2 linked regions of the Struthio camelus genome follow. The main gene of each other region encodes a partner of the protein of the gene in region 2 in a complex. Links are inferred from orthologs where the notes say so. Each region holds a gene or a part of one and is shown on either strand. Other genes may lie near its edges. The genes, in order: WDR82 and TOX4.

Evidence for each region.
Region 1: TOX4 (region 2) and WDR82 share a complex: the UniProt entries of both Homo sapiens proteins name them as parts of the PNUTS-PP1 phosphatase complex. The link is inferred for Struthio camelus from reciprocal best matches to the Homo sapiens genes TOX4 and WDR82.

Annotation. Positions count from the first base shown.
Region 1 is NC_090955.1:22,935,049-22,942,947, reverse strand, and holds the start of WDR82 (WD repeat-containing protein 82), read left to right. Parts: upstream 1-4,833; 5' UTR 4,834-5,086; coding exon 5,087-5,247; intron 5,248-7,899. UniProt on the Homo sapiens protein: Regulatory component of the SET1/COMPASS complex implicated in the tethering of this complex to transcriptional start sites of active genes.
Region 2 is NC_090970.1:69,718-77,320, reverse strand, and holds the start of TOX4 (TOX high mobility group box family member 4), read right to left. Parts: upstream 3,206-7,603; 5' UTR 2,820-3,205; coding exon 2,814-2,819; intron 523-2,813; coding exon 454-522; intron 356-453; coding exon 113-355; intron 20-112; coding exon 1-19. Other genes in the region: RAB2B (ras-related protein Rab-2B), read left to right, coding at 3,544-3,589, 5,138-5,209, 5,300-5,367, 5,490-5,572, 5,661-5,753, 5,906-6,821. UniProt on the Homo sapiens protein: Transcription factor that modulates cell fate reprogramming from the somatic state to the pluripotent and neuronal fate. In liver, controls the expression of hormone-regulated gluconeogenic genes such as G6PC1 and PCK1.

The sequences.
Region 1 (7,899 bases), on a different chromosome or scaffold from region 2:
TTTTTCAAGACTAATCTCTTCAAATAAAAATCTTAGAATTTGATTATTTTTTAATCCGCACATGGATTTGCATAAAATTACCACACTGTCTCATTCACACTTTGTAAAAGATAAAATATCTGCAGGTGGGAGGGACCAACTGATCACCGCTCAGATGCGACGAGTCCCGTGCACGAGCGGGTGTGCAGGGGCTTTCCCCTCTGTTCACCGTGGCACTCCTGCAGCGGTCACTGGGAAAGAGGATGACGGTGGGCAGAAGTGGTACCATTAGAGCAGAGAGCTCCATAGCAGGTTTGCTAGGCCAGCAAGAGAGAAAGGATGGAGTCCGAGTATCTTTGTTCGAGAATATGCTGAGCTCTGGAAACCCAGGAGTCCTAATTTCCAATACACTGTTTTCTGTATGTTTCTTGGAGAAGAAATATGTTGCTCTCATGACTGATTTGCTCACCAGGAAAGTGTCAACAAGGTCTCTTTGCCTTTGATGGGGAATGTAGCCTAAGGCCAAACACAGGGAAGATAAGTGTTCTGCTCAGCATTTTTTATATATATAGATCAGCATCATTAGCAAAAAAAATTAACTACATTTGACATATGCCTCTTACTAGTTTTTCTAGGTCACACTCCCTTCACTCCCTATATACCTTTTGAAAATGATTTTCCCATGTGCTGGGGATTGTGGGGAAGAAAAAATTTTGACCAGAAAAATCCTTCTGTAGTTCAGTGCGGAACAGTACTACCCTGAAGCCAAGTCCGTGCCAAGTCTACTTCCTTTCATGCTGCAATTCCTCAAGCTCCCTATTCCGAGTCAAATTGCAGTCAAAGTTGACAGTCATTTAAAATACAGAGGAGGATCATAGCATTCTAGAGAAGATGAAAAGTTGCCAGCCTTGACGACTGGAATAATAGAAAGGGGGCGAAATTCAGTACTGCAGAATACAAGGTCATGCTCTTTGGGATTAATAGCAAAAATGTATGAGCTCTTCAGCTGGAAATGACATAAGAGGAGAAAGAGCCAGGAATATTAATCAGTCACAGGATTACAATTACAGCTGCCTTCTAGGCTGAGGTGACTGGCTATGGGAACAAGGGGAGAGTGGCAGATGTAATCTACCTTGACTTCAGTGAGGTTTGTGGCACCATTCTCATTAGCAAGCTGAAGAAATTGGGCAAATATACTGCTAGACCGGCTAAAAACCAGCTCAGCCGCTGGGCTCAGAGGGTAGAAATCAGTGGCTCAAGTGTCCAGCTGGCAGCCGGTAACGAACAGGGAAGCCCTGCGTCCATACTGGGGGTCCGTGCTTCCCACAGCTTCTTTGGTGGGATAAGCTTCTGGAGATAGCACAGAGTGCATCCTCAGTAACTTTGTGGATGACACTAACTGGGGGGAGTAGCTGACACACTGAATGGTGGAACAACCTGCCAGAGGAACCGTGATAAACTCGAGGACAGGGCCAACAGAATCCTCGTGATGTGCAGCAAGGAGAAGTGAGAAGTTTTGCAGCTGGGGCAGGACCCCCAGGCATTAAGGCAGACTGGGAACCGACTGGCTGAGTAGCAGCCCTGCTGACAAGGAGAGAGGGGGTCTGGATGAACGTCAAGGGGAATATGAGCAACCAGTGTGCTCTCCTTGCAAGTCAGTCATGCTATGGACATGGCTACCCAGAGGGGTCGTGGTCTCCCTCCTTGGAGGTTTTAAAGACTTGGCTAGACAAAACTATGGCCAGCCTGATCTTGCCTTAGTGATAGTCCTGCCCTGAGCAGAAGGGTGGACTAGGGACCTCCGGAAGTCCCTTTTACCAACACTTCTGTGATGTAGCAGCAAGGACAGGGTTGGATGATCCAGAGCCTCATGCTTATTTTCAAAAGCCCATAAAGAGGTGCCAAGTTGTGCGCCACAAGCCTTCCACACAAGCCTTCAAACCCCGTCACTCACAGAGAATCATCACCCACAGCAGAGTCCAACAAAAAAGCATTCACCTGAGCAGCGTTGTTTCAGCAGAAGCATCTCACTGAAATTCATGTCTATTCATTTGAGCAAATGCAAACACGGGACTGTTTGTATTGCGCAGGTCAGGTTACAGTGGTAGGTAACATATAAATGCATAGGTAGCATCACTGCATTTGATCAATATTAGTCAAGTAGCAATTAAACCTCTTTTCTATTAACTAGTTTTGCAGGGCCACTCTCCATAATTCCTACATAATGTGACATTTTGCTAGAAGGTCCAATTATCCTGCCAGATGAATTCCAGCTTTGTATAAACTGACAAACTAAGTTCCAATGATTAGGAAGAAAGGCAGAAGAAAGAATAAAAAGGGAGTGACAAAATATCAAATCAACAACCCACAGTGTTATACAACTCTAAAACTTGGCTAAGTATTGTAGGTGTTTTGAAGTAAATTGTCTTATGATGGTATCGATGAGTCATCTGCTGGGCCCACATGAGATAATCCAGGCTTTGATCTTATAATTTGCAGTGTGCAGGAGGAATGCTGTTCTGCACCTCTCTAACTTAATCTTTCCTTACATGAAAATATATTTTAGGTTTTGAGCTGACCTGTAATGGGGTAGCTGACCCGGAGGCCTTCCGAAGTAATGAAGGTGTCTTTTGTTGAGTCTTCGTGGACGCCAGTGTTAAAATCGTGTATTCATTTCAGAGTAAAGCTTGTTGAATCCTTCCGGCCGGCCAGTCTGATCAGAATATAAAAGAGTGAATTGGACCGGAAGCGATCTAAATCTGTAACGGTGAGCTGTAATAAAGAAACTGTAAGAGCAAGTAAGCACAGAAAAGACTTTTGTTTTAGGAAATGAGCTATATGCACACGAAATAATTAACTCTATTCCAATGACATTTAAACAGACCTTTGACGATACTTCCCAGACATGCTGTTGTTTGACCACAGGAGGGCAATATTATTCTAAAAGCAAACTCTGTTCTGGGGACTAAGAAAGGAAAATGCAGTTAACATGTACAAAGGCATCTAGGGTTGACATTTCTTTCTTTCGGTTCTAAGCTTCTTGGGGACACAAGTAATGAAAGGTTGGCTGTTCTCCTAAAATTAAAATACCGGGTTGCTGGAAATTTTAATGGGGGAATTTTAAAGATTCTCACAGCTATTGCTATACTCCAAGAACAATTCTTTAAGATATGAGAAGTCTGAAAACATGATCATAAAACCTGACATCACGACTCACGAGAGCAAGAAAGCAATTCCACTGCCTTTTTACAGGAGCACAGGCCGCAACACCCAAGACATCTCGGAAGCCCCTGGAGATTGTGCCGCTCATCCCCATCTGAAGTCCTACGCCGTCCGTTGGTATAGCACTAGCATTTCTGCAATAGTGCGGGGAGGCCAGGTCGGAGAATAAAAAATCGTGGGAAATAAGACAATGTCTATAACACTTTAACTGGAAACAGAACAGAAGAATGAGAAAAAACATCATCACTGTGCATTTTAAAGGAAAGGGGGTCTGACTCTCACAGCGGGTGCAGATAAATATGGGAGCTAAGCCTCAAGGCTAAGGAAGCGCGCTGCGGGGTAGAGCCGCGTCCTGCTCACTCCAGAGCAGGAGGCCTGAGGAGAAGCGCTCCCGTTCGGTCACCGCGGGGAGCTGGCGGGAAGCGCTGGGGCCGGGGTACAGGCTCCGCAGCTGCAGCCCACCCCGAGCACCCTCGCTCCCGTTTCCTCACCAGCAGCGGGCAGAGCAAAACGGAACAAAACCCCTAGCGAAAGACATGGCCGGTAGCGAACGCGGCAGGTTATTCGTGGAGTAAAACTTTGTCGCGGCTTTTCTGGACAAACGTCGAGGCGCGCTGCTGAAGCCGCCACGCTAACCGTCCTTCGCTTTGCACCTGTTTCACCCGCAAAACCCACACTGCCACAGCAGCTTCCCTTATGTTTTTGAGGCGGCGCCAGGCCCGAAACCCGCCATCACGTCCGGCGCGCGATGGGAGCTGCACCCCCGCAGAAGTGGGGGGGGGGAGGCGCGTAAGGCGCCACGGTCTCAGGCGGCGGGGGGCGAGCCGAAGCGGGCGGCGGGCCGGCCGCGGCGCAGCAGCGCTCCCCTGTAGCAGAGCAGCTGCGCGAGGCCGGCAGGCGAGCCGGGGCGCAGCAGGCGGCCGGGCTGCGGGCAGCGGAGCGGGACGCGCTGCCCGGGCCTGCCCGGCGCTCCCGGTGCCGGCGGCGGCGGCCCACCTGCGGCTCGAGGCGGCCGGCCGGCCGAGCGCGGCGGGAAGTGACGTTCCCCCGGCGGCGCGGACGCCTGGGGCCGCCGCCGGGCCGGGTGCGCGGGGCAGGCCCAGCGGGGCGCGATGCCAGCCCCCCTCCCCCCCCCGGCCCACGCGTTGCCCCCGGTTCGGGGTGGACGTTAGCCCCGGGGCACAGAGGAGCTGCCCCCCCCCCTCCCCGCGGGCAGCCAGGCCCACACCCCGGCTGCGCCGGCCCTGCCTGCGGCCTGCGGCCACCCCCCCCCCCCGCCCCGGGGTGTCCCTGTCCCCCCAGGCGCAGGCTGCCTGCGCCCCTCGCGCGGCCTGGGGGACCCTGGCGTTGAAGGCAAGGCTCAGCCCGTGGACCCTGTGTGCTTAGGACTACACCGGCCTGTCCCGTCCCGCCCCGGGCCCCGCCGGCCAGGGGGAGGGCGACAGCCGCCCCACGGCGGGAGGGTAGGCGCCCCTGCTGCCACACTCAACATGGCCGCCAGCCCCCACCTCCGTGCCCTTCTCTATCCCAGCAGGCCGCGCGCGCGGCCCGCCGCCTTCCCACAACGCCCCGCGGCGGCGCGCCCCCCCCTTCCCGCCCTCCATCCCACAGTGCCCCGCGCGCCGCCCCCGCCCGTTCCCGGCGCAGCAAGATGGCGGACACAATGAGGAGGAGCCGCCTCTCCGCGGCCTGACCGGGCCGAGCCCCGCCGGAGGGCGCCCCCCGCCCGCCCCGGCCCGCCGCCCCCCCCCCCCCCGCCGCCGCCGCCCCCCACCCCCGCCAAGCCGACGGGCCGGGCCGCGCCGCGCCGCGCCCGGCCGCCGCCCGCCGCCGCCGCGGGGCCCCGCCCGGCTCGCCGCCGCCCTCGGCGCGGCCCGGCGGCGGCATGAAGCTAACGGACAACGTGCTGCGGAGCTTCCGCGTGGCCAAGGTCTTCCGCGAGAACTCGGACAAGATCAACTGCTTCGACTTCAGCCCCAACGGCGAGACCGTCATCTCCAGCAGCGACGACGACTCCATCGTGCTCTACGACTGCCAGGAGGGAAAGTGAGTGCGGGCCCGGGCCCTCGGCGGCGCCGCCGCCGCCCCCCGTGCGGGATGGGGCTCCCCGGGGCGGCCGGCGGTGGCCGCTCTCTGCCCGCCGGCTGCTGAGCTTGGGTGATGTCCTTTCTTCTTTCTTGTTCTCGGGCTAAATTTAAGCTCGTGGGTAGACGGGCAGCAGTGCGTGACAGGAAATATTTATAAACGCTTAAGGTGGGGCGCGGAGGTGGGAGCACCACAGTCCTGTCAGGTTTGTCTGCTTGTCTTTGCTCGCTCCCTTCGCTAGGCCAGAGCTACTGATGGTAATTGGGTGTTGGAGCGTTTTCCTAGCTACGAGGAATGAATATTGCTTAAGGTGAGGATTTTGAATCTGGTGGCAGGTCTAGGCCTCGGTATTGTCACGGGTGGGCAAACTGACTTCTCAGGCTGGTCTGGGTTTAAATCTCAGTAAGTGAAATAGAGGCAGTTGCGGTGAGCAATGTGCAGATGTGCCATTTTAAGTAGTTAGTCCAACTGTGGCTTCTTGGTTAAGTACTTAAACTTAAAGATGAGGGTGGCATGGTATGTGTCCAGAATAACTTTCAGAAGCTCTGTGACGTCTTCATTAAAACGTAGTTTCTAAATGATACCTGGGAGTGTTGTGGGTAAAGGTGATTCTCTGTGCTTTAAATCTTAATTTTTTTCTAGTCACCTCTTCATCTATGAAGTGCAGTTAAGATACGTATGTGACTTACATGCATCTTCAGAAATTGTCTAAATTCATATTGAATCAATTAAGATGTTTACTGATTGATCTTATTTGACGTTATTAATGAATTATTAATGAATTAAGAGGTATTTATTTTTCATTGAACAGAGTTGTGCAGTTATCTTCTTTCACTGTTCATGCAATCCTCGTCCCATCTTTTGGATAAAAAGCAGTAATTCGCACAGCCCCTGAAATATGGTTCTCTTGGTCGATCAGGGGATGCAAATATGCAGACAAGGCAATCAGTAACTTTTGTAGGTTGTGTCTCGGAATGTCTGCAAAAGAAGACATTTCTTCTTCTGTAAGAGTTGGACCAAACTGAGCCAATGATGTCATTATTCCATTAAAAACTTGGTGTTTGGATAATTCAGAGTTGCTTAAAAAATGTATTTGCATGTTTACAGTATTGATTTTCAGTAAAAGCTCTAATGTGCCATAGAGGGGTGGTTACTGGGCCTGGAATTGAGCTTGGGAAACCAAAGAGACTTGGCCCTTTGGTGCATCATGTAATAATGATTTTAAAAATTGAGAATGTTGCAATCACAGCTTTTCTTTGCATGTAAGTCGTTGTGTGTTTGGCACAAGTATGTGTTTGGCTCATTTAAGTTCTTTTAAGTTGTGTTTAAGTTTTAACTTTCCTGTTGTTGTGGAGATGCACTTTTGAGTTTTGTGGGGGCTTTTGTTTTTTGGAAAGTCTTGGGGAGATGCAAGCAGGCAGCGTGACATTCACATATCAAATAAAAGAAAAAGAGGATGCAGTTTGTAGGAGAGAGAATGAATGGGGCAGCACAGCAATACAGGAGTGGAAAATAAATTGCTTAGGGAGAAGAAGGAGACAGAGGTGTCAGTGTTGCATAAGTTTTACAGTAAGCCTGGTATTCCTAGTCGTTTTGCTGTTTTCAAGCAGACCAAGACATTGCGCTTGCTGTGTTGGAAAGAATGCATTCTGCTTATTCTCTTTATTTTGTAGAATTGTTGTTGTATGTTGTTTTATACTTCTGTTTAGTTTGCTTGCTTTACAAATTAACATTCTTGCCACTCCCTGATGCAGTGAGCTTTGATTTGAGAGGAGTTAGTTTTTATTTATATAAGAATAGGTAACATAATATGAATGCTATCTGCTATGGATAGTAGTCTAGATCCTAATTACATACAGTAGTAGAAGGGCTGAGTGATGTTAATGCAGATACTATTGATTCTTCTTCCCCTTTCCAACTTGTAAAGAGCAATTTGATGGGTTGGAAGGCTTTTGGTCCTTTCATTCCTATCTCCGTCTAGTCCTGATGTATGCTTTACAGTGAAAGGATTTGTTTCAATGAAGTTTGCAGTAATAGACCATCGATCTTTTACGTCTGTGTTACAGGGCAATGAGAGCATTTTCAGCAAGGTAACCCATGTTTCAGAATGCGTTTCTCTAGCGGCTGCAAAATTAATTTGAAAGTTGCTCGTGTACTATCAATTGACTTAAAACCATAAATGTGGTTTTTAGAGATGTCTAGGGATGCGGGGCACGCTTTTTTCTCATCTTAGAAAGTTTTAGCTGTGAATTACTTCTCTACAGGAGATTCATGTGGAGATGAAAAATTGAATCTGTGAATGATTATTGTTGTGATGTGGTGGAGTTTGACAGATTCTGGCCAATAGTTAGTTTTTTTTTCCTTTTTTTCCTGTTTTTTTTTTTTAAACAAACCAATGTTTCAAGGGTCTGGATCTCTCACCTTCTTATATATATCATTCCTAATGAATCTAAGGGCTGACAGAAGGCAGTTTTCTGCCTGCTGGGTTTCAGTATAATGAGTCCTACTTCAGCAGAGGATGGCCTAAATGGTAGAACTTTTCTCAGTGTAACAGTGGCAACATTTGGGGGTTTTCATTCCTTTTATTAGGAGCTCAGCTGATAGAATTAAAAG
Region 2 (7,603 bases):
CCATGGTGTGCTCCAGCTCCTGGAAAAGCCGGAGCGCCGTCAAAACCGCCGTCGCCCGCGCCTCTCCCCCTCTCCTTTTTCCCCCGGGTTCGCCAAGCCGCCGCTCTCTCACCATGGACAACCCGCCGGCGAGCAAGCCGCCGCTTTGCTCCATCAAGCCGTGGCTCATGCCCACCGGCATGTCCAGGGCTTGCACGCCGTACTGGGCGGAGAAACCGGCGTCGGCGGCGCTGCCGGGGTCGCCCAGGTCGTCGAAGTGGCCCACCACGTCGGAGACGGCCAGCGAGGGGTCGGCGTCCAGGGCGATGGGGGGGATCTCGAACTCCTCGTCGCCCAGGCTGGGCGTGTGGAAGGTCTGCGCGGCGAGGAGGAGGAGGAGGAGGAGGAAGGTGGGGCTGCCCCACCGCCCCGTTTCCTCCGCCGACCGGCCCCCCCCCCCCGCCGCCGCCTCACCTCGGCCCCCGTCAGGAAGGGGTGAGCCGTGCCGGTGATGGCCAGGTAGTTGTCGTTGCCGCCGGGGAACTGCGCGGCGCCCGGCCGGCCGGGAGGGAGAGAAACGGAGGCGGCTGAGGACAGCAACGGGCCGCCGGCACCTCCCCGGCGCTCCCAGTAGCCCCCAGCACCCTCCCAGCGCTCCCCAATACCCCCAGAACCCTCCCACTGTCCCCCAAACCCCCCTAACAGCCCCCAGCACCCTCCCAGTGCCCCCAACACCTCCCAACAGCCCCCAGCACCCTCCCAGTGCCCCCCAAGCCCCCCTAACAGCCCCCAGCACCCTCCCAGTGCTCCCAGCACCCCCCAGAACCCTCCCAGTGTCCCCCAAGCCCCCCTAACAGCCCCCAGCACCCTCCCAGTGCCCCCCAAACCCCCCTAACAGCTCCCAGCACCCTCCCAGTGCCCCCAGCACCTCCCAACAGCCCCCAGCACCCTCCCAGTGCTCCCAGCACCCCCCAGAACCCTCCCACTGTCCCCCAAACCCCCCTAACAGCCCCCAGCACCCTCCCAGTGTCCCCCAAACCCCCCTAACAGCTCCCAGCACCCTCCCAGTGCCCCCAACACCTCCCAACAGCCCCCAGCACCCTCCCAGTGCCCCCAGCACCCCCCAGCACCCTCCCAGTGTCCCCCAAACCCCCCCAATAGCCCCCAGCACCCTCCCAGTGCCCCCAACACCTCCCAACAGCCCCCAGCACCCTCCCAGTGCCCCCAGCACCCCCCAGAACCCTCCCAGTGCCCCCCAAACCCCCCCAATAGCCCCCAGCACCCTCCCAGTGCCCCATGCACCTCCCAATAGCCTCCAGCACCCTCCTAACAGCCCCCAGCACCCTCCCAGTGCCCCCAGCAGCCCCCAGCACCCTCCCAGTGCCCCCAATAGCTCCCAGTTCCGCCCCAGTGTGCCCCCAGCACCCCCTAATAGATCCCAACACCCCCCATCTCCCCCCCAGCACCCCCCAGTAACCCCCAGCACCCCTATGTCCCACCATCTGCCCCAACACCACCCAGCTCCCCCAGCTCTCCCCAGTAGCCCCCAACACCAACTCCCCCCATCACCCCCCAACAGCCCCCAGCACCCCATCTCCCCCATCACCCCCCAGCAGCCCCCATCGCCCCCCAATAGCCCCCAGCACCCCCATCTCCCCCCATCTCCTCCCCAGCAGTCCCCAGTACCCCCTATATACCCCTATATCCCCCCATATCCCCCCAAGAAGCCCCCAGCACCTCCTATCTCCCCTAACTCCCCCCATATCCCCCCCAGTAGCCCCCAGCACCCCCAACTCCCCCCCCACCCCCCAACACCCTCCATCTCCCCCCCAGCACCCCCTATCTACCCTAACTCCCCCCATATCCCCCCTAATAGCCCCCAACACCCCCCAACTCCCCCCATCGCCCCCCAACACCCTCCATCTCCCCCCCAGCAGCCCCCAACACCCCCTATATCCCCCTAACTCCCCCCATATCCCCCCCAGCAGCCCCCAACACCCCCCAACTCACCCCCATATCCCCCTAGTAACCCCCAACACCCCCCAACTCCCCCCATCGCCCCCCAACACCCTCCATCTCCCCCCCAGCAGCCCCCAGCACCCCCTATATACCCCTAACTCCCCCCATATCCCCCCAGTAGCCCCCAGCACCCCCTAACTCCCCCCATATCCCCCAACTCCCCCCAACACCCTCCATCTCCCCCCCAGCACCCCCCAGCACCCCCTATCTCCCCTAACTACCCCCATCTCCCCCCCAGTAGCCCCCAACTCCCCCCAACTCCCCCCATCGCCCCCCAACACCTCCATCTCCCCCCCCAGCAGCCCCCAGCACCCCCTATCTCCCCTAACTCCCTCCATCTCCCCCCAGCACCCCCTATATCCCAACTCCCCCCATATCCCCCCCAGCAGCCCCCAGCACCCCCTATATCCCAACTCCCCCCATATCCCCCCCAGCAGCCCCCAACACCCCCTATATCCCCCTAACTCCCCCCATATCCCCCCCAGCAGCCCCCAACACCCCCTATATCCCCCTAACTCTCTCCATCTCCCCCCCAGCAGCCCCCAGCACCCCCTATATCCCCCTAACTCCCCCCATCTCCCCCCCAGCAGCCCCCAACACCCCCTATATCCCCCTAACTCTCTCCATCTCCCCCCCAGCAGCCCCCAGCACCCCCTATCTCCCCCTAACTCCCCCCATATCCCCCCCAGTAGCCCCCAGCACCCCCTAACTCCCCTCATCGCCCCCCCATCTCCCCCCCCCGGTGCCCGGCTCTCCCCACGGGGCCTCCACCTCCACGACAACACCTCCCCCCCCCGGTCCCGGGCCCCGCTCACCTCCATGGCGCCGCCGCCGCCGAGCGAGAGTCTCCCCGCGACGCGCTCCGGCCCCCGACCCCGGAAGCGGAAGTCCCGCCTCCCCGCCCTCGCGTCACGCCGCGTCACTCCACTTCCGGCGCGAGGGTCATAGAGGCGGCCTCTCCCTCCCTCCCTCCCCCCCCCGCCGGCGGCGGGAGCCCCCCTAGGAGACGGGGTGGGAGGGGGAAAAAAGTCGCGTTTGGGTCTTTTCTGGCCCTGCCGAGCTGGCAGGGCCGGGTAGGAGCAGTGGAGCCGGCGGCCCCCGGCCCCAGAGCGCCCAGGTTCTGCCTAGAGCGCCGCCGGAAGCGGGAGGAGTAGAGGCGGCCGCCGGGGCGGGCAGAGCGCCGCCGGAAGCGGGAGGAGTAGAGGCGGCCGCCGGGGCGGGCAGAGCGCCGCCGGAAGCGGGAGGAGTAGAGGCGGCCGCCGGGGCGGGCAGAGCGCCGCCGGAAGCGGGAGGAGTAGAGGCGGCCGCCGGGGCGGGCAGAGCGCCGCCGGAAGCGGGAGGAGTAGAGGCGGCCGCCGGGGCGGGCAGAGCGCCGCCGGAAGCCGGAGGAGTAGAGGCGGCCGCCGGGGCGGGCAGAGCGCCGCCGGAAGCCGGAGGAGTAGAGGCGGCCTCCGGGGCGGGCAGAGCGCCGCCGGAAGCCGGAGGAGTAGAGGCGGCCGGCCTCCGAGGACAGAGCGGCCCTGGGCGGACCTGGTTCCGGGCATCATGTCTTACGCGTATCTCTTCAAATACATCATCATCGGCGATACCGGTACCGGGCCGGGGGGCAGGAAGGGTCTCTGAGGGGGCAGGAGAGCCTGAAGTGGGGCAGGAAGGGGCTGTGGGGGGGAGAAAGGGGTCTGAGGGGGGAAGGAAGGGTCTCTAGGGAGCACAGGAAGGGGCTCTGGGGGGCAGGATGGGGCTCTGGGGGGCACAGAAAGGGGGTCTGGGGGGCAGAAAAGGGTCTGGGGGCAGGAAGAGGCTCTAGGGAGCACAGGAGGGGCTTTGGGGGGCAAAAAGAGGCTTTGGGGGGACAGGAAGGGGCTCTGAGGGGGCAGGAGGGGGTCTGAGGGGGCAGGAGGGGGTCTGAGGGGGCAGGAGGGGGCTCTGGGGGGGCACAGAAAGGGGGTCTGGGGGCAGGAAGAGGCTCTAGGGAGCACAGGAAGGGACTTTGGGGGGCAAAAAGGGGCTTTGGGGGACAGGAAGGGGTCTGGGGGGGAAGGAAGGGGCTTTGAGGGGGCAGAAAGGGGTCTGAGGGGGCAGGATGGGGCTCTGGGAGGCACAGAAAGGGGCTCTGGGGGGGCAGGATGGGGCTCGAGGGAGGACAGGAAGGGGATTTGGGGGGCAAAAAGGGGCTTTGGGGGGCAGGAAGGGGTCTGGGGTGGAGGAAGAGGTTCTAGGGGGGCAGGAATGGGTCTGGAGGAAAGGAAGGGGCTTTGAAGGCGCAGAAAGGGGCTCTAGGGAGCACAGGAAGGGGCTTTGGGGGGGCAGGAATGGGCTCTGGGGGGCACAGAAAGGGGCTTTAGGGGGGCAGGAGAGGGTTGAAGGAGGCAGGATGGGGCTCTGGGGGGCAGAAAGGGGTCTGGGGGGCAGGAAGGGGCTCTAGGGAGCACAGGAAGGGGATTTGGGGGGCAAAAGGGGGCTTTGGGGGGGCAGGAAGGGGTTGGAGGGGGCAGGATGGGGCTCTGTGGGGGCAGAAAGGGGTCTGGGGTGGAGGAAGAGGCTCTGGGGGAGGCAGGAAGGGGTCTGGAGGGGAAGGAAGGGGCTTTGGGGGGGCAGGATGGGACTCTGGGGGTGCAGAAAGGGGGTCTGAGGGGGCAGGATGGGTTTCGGGGGGGGGTAGAAGAGCCTGAAGTGGGGCAGGAAGGGGCTTTGGAGGGGCAGGAAGGGGTCTAAGGGAGGAGGAAGGGGCTTTAGGGGGGCATGAAGGGCTCTGGGGGACAGGAAAGGGGTTGGGGGGACAAGAGGGGGCTCTGGGGGGACAAGAGGGGGCTTTGGGGGGACAGGAAAGGGGTCTGGGGGGACAGGAAAGGGGTCTGGGGGGAGGAAGGGGCTCTGGGGGGACAAGAGGGGTCTCTGGGGGGGCAGGAAGGGGCTTTAGGGGGGCAGAAGAGCCTGAGGGGGGCAGAAAGGGGTCATTTGGGGGGGGGGATTGAGGGGGGAGGCAAAAGGGGGCCGGTGGCCGGAGGGAGCTGGGGGTGTGGGGAGCAGCCAGGATGTAGGAGAGGGGGGAGAAAACAAGGGGGGAGGTATTTTTGGGGGGAGATCGAGGGCAGCAGTCGCGGAGGGAGCCGGAGCCCGTCCGTCCGTCCGCCCGCAGGCGTCGGCAAGTCCTGCCTGCTGCTGCAGTTCACCGACAAGCGCTTCCAGCCCGTCCACGACCTGACCATCGGTGAGGATCCCGGCCGGAGCGGAGCCCGGCCCCGCGTTTCCCCCGGCTCCTCCGAGCCCGCGTCCGGCAGCCCCGCGCCCTCTCTTGCAGGCGTCGAGTTCGGGGCGCGCATGATCAGCGTCGAGAACAAGCAGATCAAGCTGCAGATCTGGGATACGGTGAGGCCGCGGGGGAGAAAGAAAAAACAGCAGCGTATCGGGACCATCCCTTTTTTTTAAAAAGAAAAAAACAAAAAACTCTCTCTCTCTCTCTATATATATAAATATCTCTCTTTTTCCAGGCTGGACAGGAGTCTTTCCGCTCGATCACGCGTTCCTACTACCGAGGAGCGGCCGGGGCGCTGCTGGTTTACGATATCACCAGGTATCGCCGCCGGCCGCGCTCGCGTCGGCCTCGACGTCGTCCCCCCTCCGCCGCCCCCCACCCCGAATCGCTCTTGGCCCCCGCGCAGGCGCGAGACCTTCAACCACTTGACGTCCTGGCTGGAAGACGCCCGCCAACACTCCAGCTCCAACATGGTCATCATGCTGATCGGGAACAAGAGGTTAAATAAAAACAACAAGAGCGAGTCCGGAGACTCGTCCCGGACTCTAAGAAGGGAGGTTTTTTTGTTTTTTCGTTTTTTTCACCCACCTCACCCCCCCTTTCTTTTCTTGCGTCCTGCCCCTCGGCCGAATCCGTCTCCTGCCTCGGCAGCGACCTGGAGTCGCGGCGGGACGTGCGGAAGGAGGAGGGCGAAGCCTTCGCCCGGGAGCACGGGCTGGTTTTCATGGAGACGTCGGCTAAGACGGCGGCCAACGTCGAAGAGGTGAAGGGATTATTTGGGGGGGGGGGCCGGCGGTTATATAAATACACATACGTATATATTTCTTTATGCTTTCCTGCTCGCCGGTGGGAAATCCCCTCTCAGAGCCACTGGGGGCAGCTGGTTTTCCCTCTTTTTTTTTTTTTTGTTTTTTCCTCCTTTTTTTTCCCCCTTTTTTTCCCCCCTCCTTTTTTTGCCTCTCGTTGGCAGGCGTTTATCGACACGGCCAAGGAGATCTACGGCAAGATCCAGCAGGGCCTGTTCGACGTGAGCAACGAGGTGAGCGCCCGGAGCCGGCGGGGCAGAGGGAAGCGGCGGCTCCCGCTCCCCTCTCTCCCCGATTCTCCTTTTCCAGGCCAACGGCATCAAAATCGGTCCCCAGCAACCCGCGGGGACGGCGCCTTCCTCCGCCGCCCGACACGGCGCTCCGGGCTCGGGAGACGGTTCCGGCTGCTGCTGAACGAATCGCCCCCTTCGTTTTGGGTTGGAGGGAAAAGGAGAGGAAAAAAGACGGCGGCTTCGAGCTGCGTTTCTCGCCGGGGCGGCTCCGCTGCCGCTTCAGCGCCGTCTCCGCTGCCTGTAAACGAGCTTTTTTTTTTTTTTTTTTTTTCTCTTTTTTTGATTTTTCAGTTTTCTTTTTTTAAACGCCGTGACCGCTCGCGGCGTCGTTCGACGCCGGCCGCCTCCGTAAATCCCCCGGCCCAGCCCCGACCACGATGTTTTCGGCACGGGAATTTCCCGCCCCGAACCTCCTCGTCGCCTCTTTCCCGCGAACGATCCCATTTCCCCCCCCAATTTCCCATCTGATTCAATCCCGTTTTCCCACCTGATTCAATCCCTTTCCTCCCCGTTTCCCCCATTTCCCACCCAATTCGATCCCATTTCCCCCCATTTTCCCACCTGATTTGATCCTGTTTCCTCCCTTTTCCCCATTTCCCACCCGACTCAATCCCATTTCCCCCCATTTTCCCCATTTCCCACCCGACTCGATCCTGGTTTCCTCCCCGTTTCCCCCCCATTTTCCCTCCCGATTTGAGCCCGTTTCCTCAGTTTTCCTCATTTTCCCCAGATTCAATCCTGTTTCCCCCCCTTTTTCCCACCCGATTCGGTCCCGTTTCCTCCCCCTCCACCGACACGTTTTCGCTCCGGTGAGGAAAACTACTCGCGGCCGAGCATCAGTTTTGGAGCTGGGGCAGGTTGTTTTGGGTTTTTTTTTTTTCCTCCTCCTCTTTTCACTCGCGCGACGTGCGGCGCTGGAGGGGAGGACGAGCGGTCGGGATAAAGCGCTTTGGCCAAAATCGCAGGGTTTCGCCTTCTTTCTCCTCGCCCCAAAAAACAGAAACACAGCAATTGTGCAGAAAAGCAAAAAAAAAAAAAAAAAAAATATATATATATATATATCTATACACATACACAAAATATACTTTTTTTTTTCTGTTAAACAATGCAGACGTTTCACGTTCACCTGTTCTGCCTTATAAACAGGAACATGAAGTATTTTAAAGGGCTTTTTCCTCATTTTCCTCAAGCATTTCCTTTTTCCGCTATAGGGAAAGATGAAAACTTACAGCAGCAGCAGGATTTTTGCT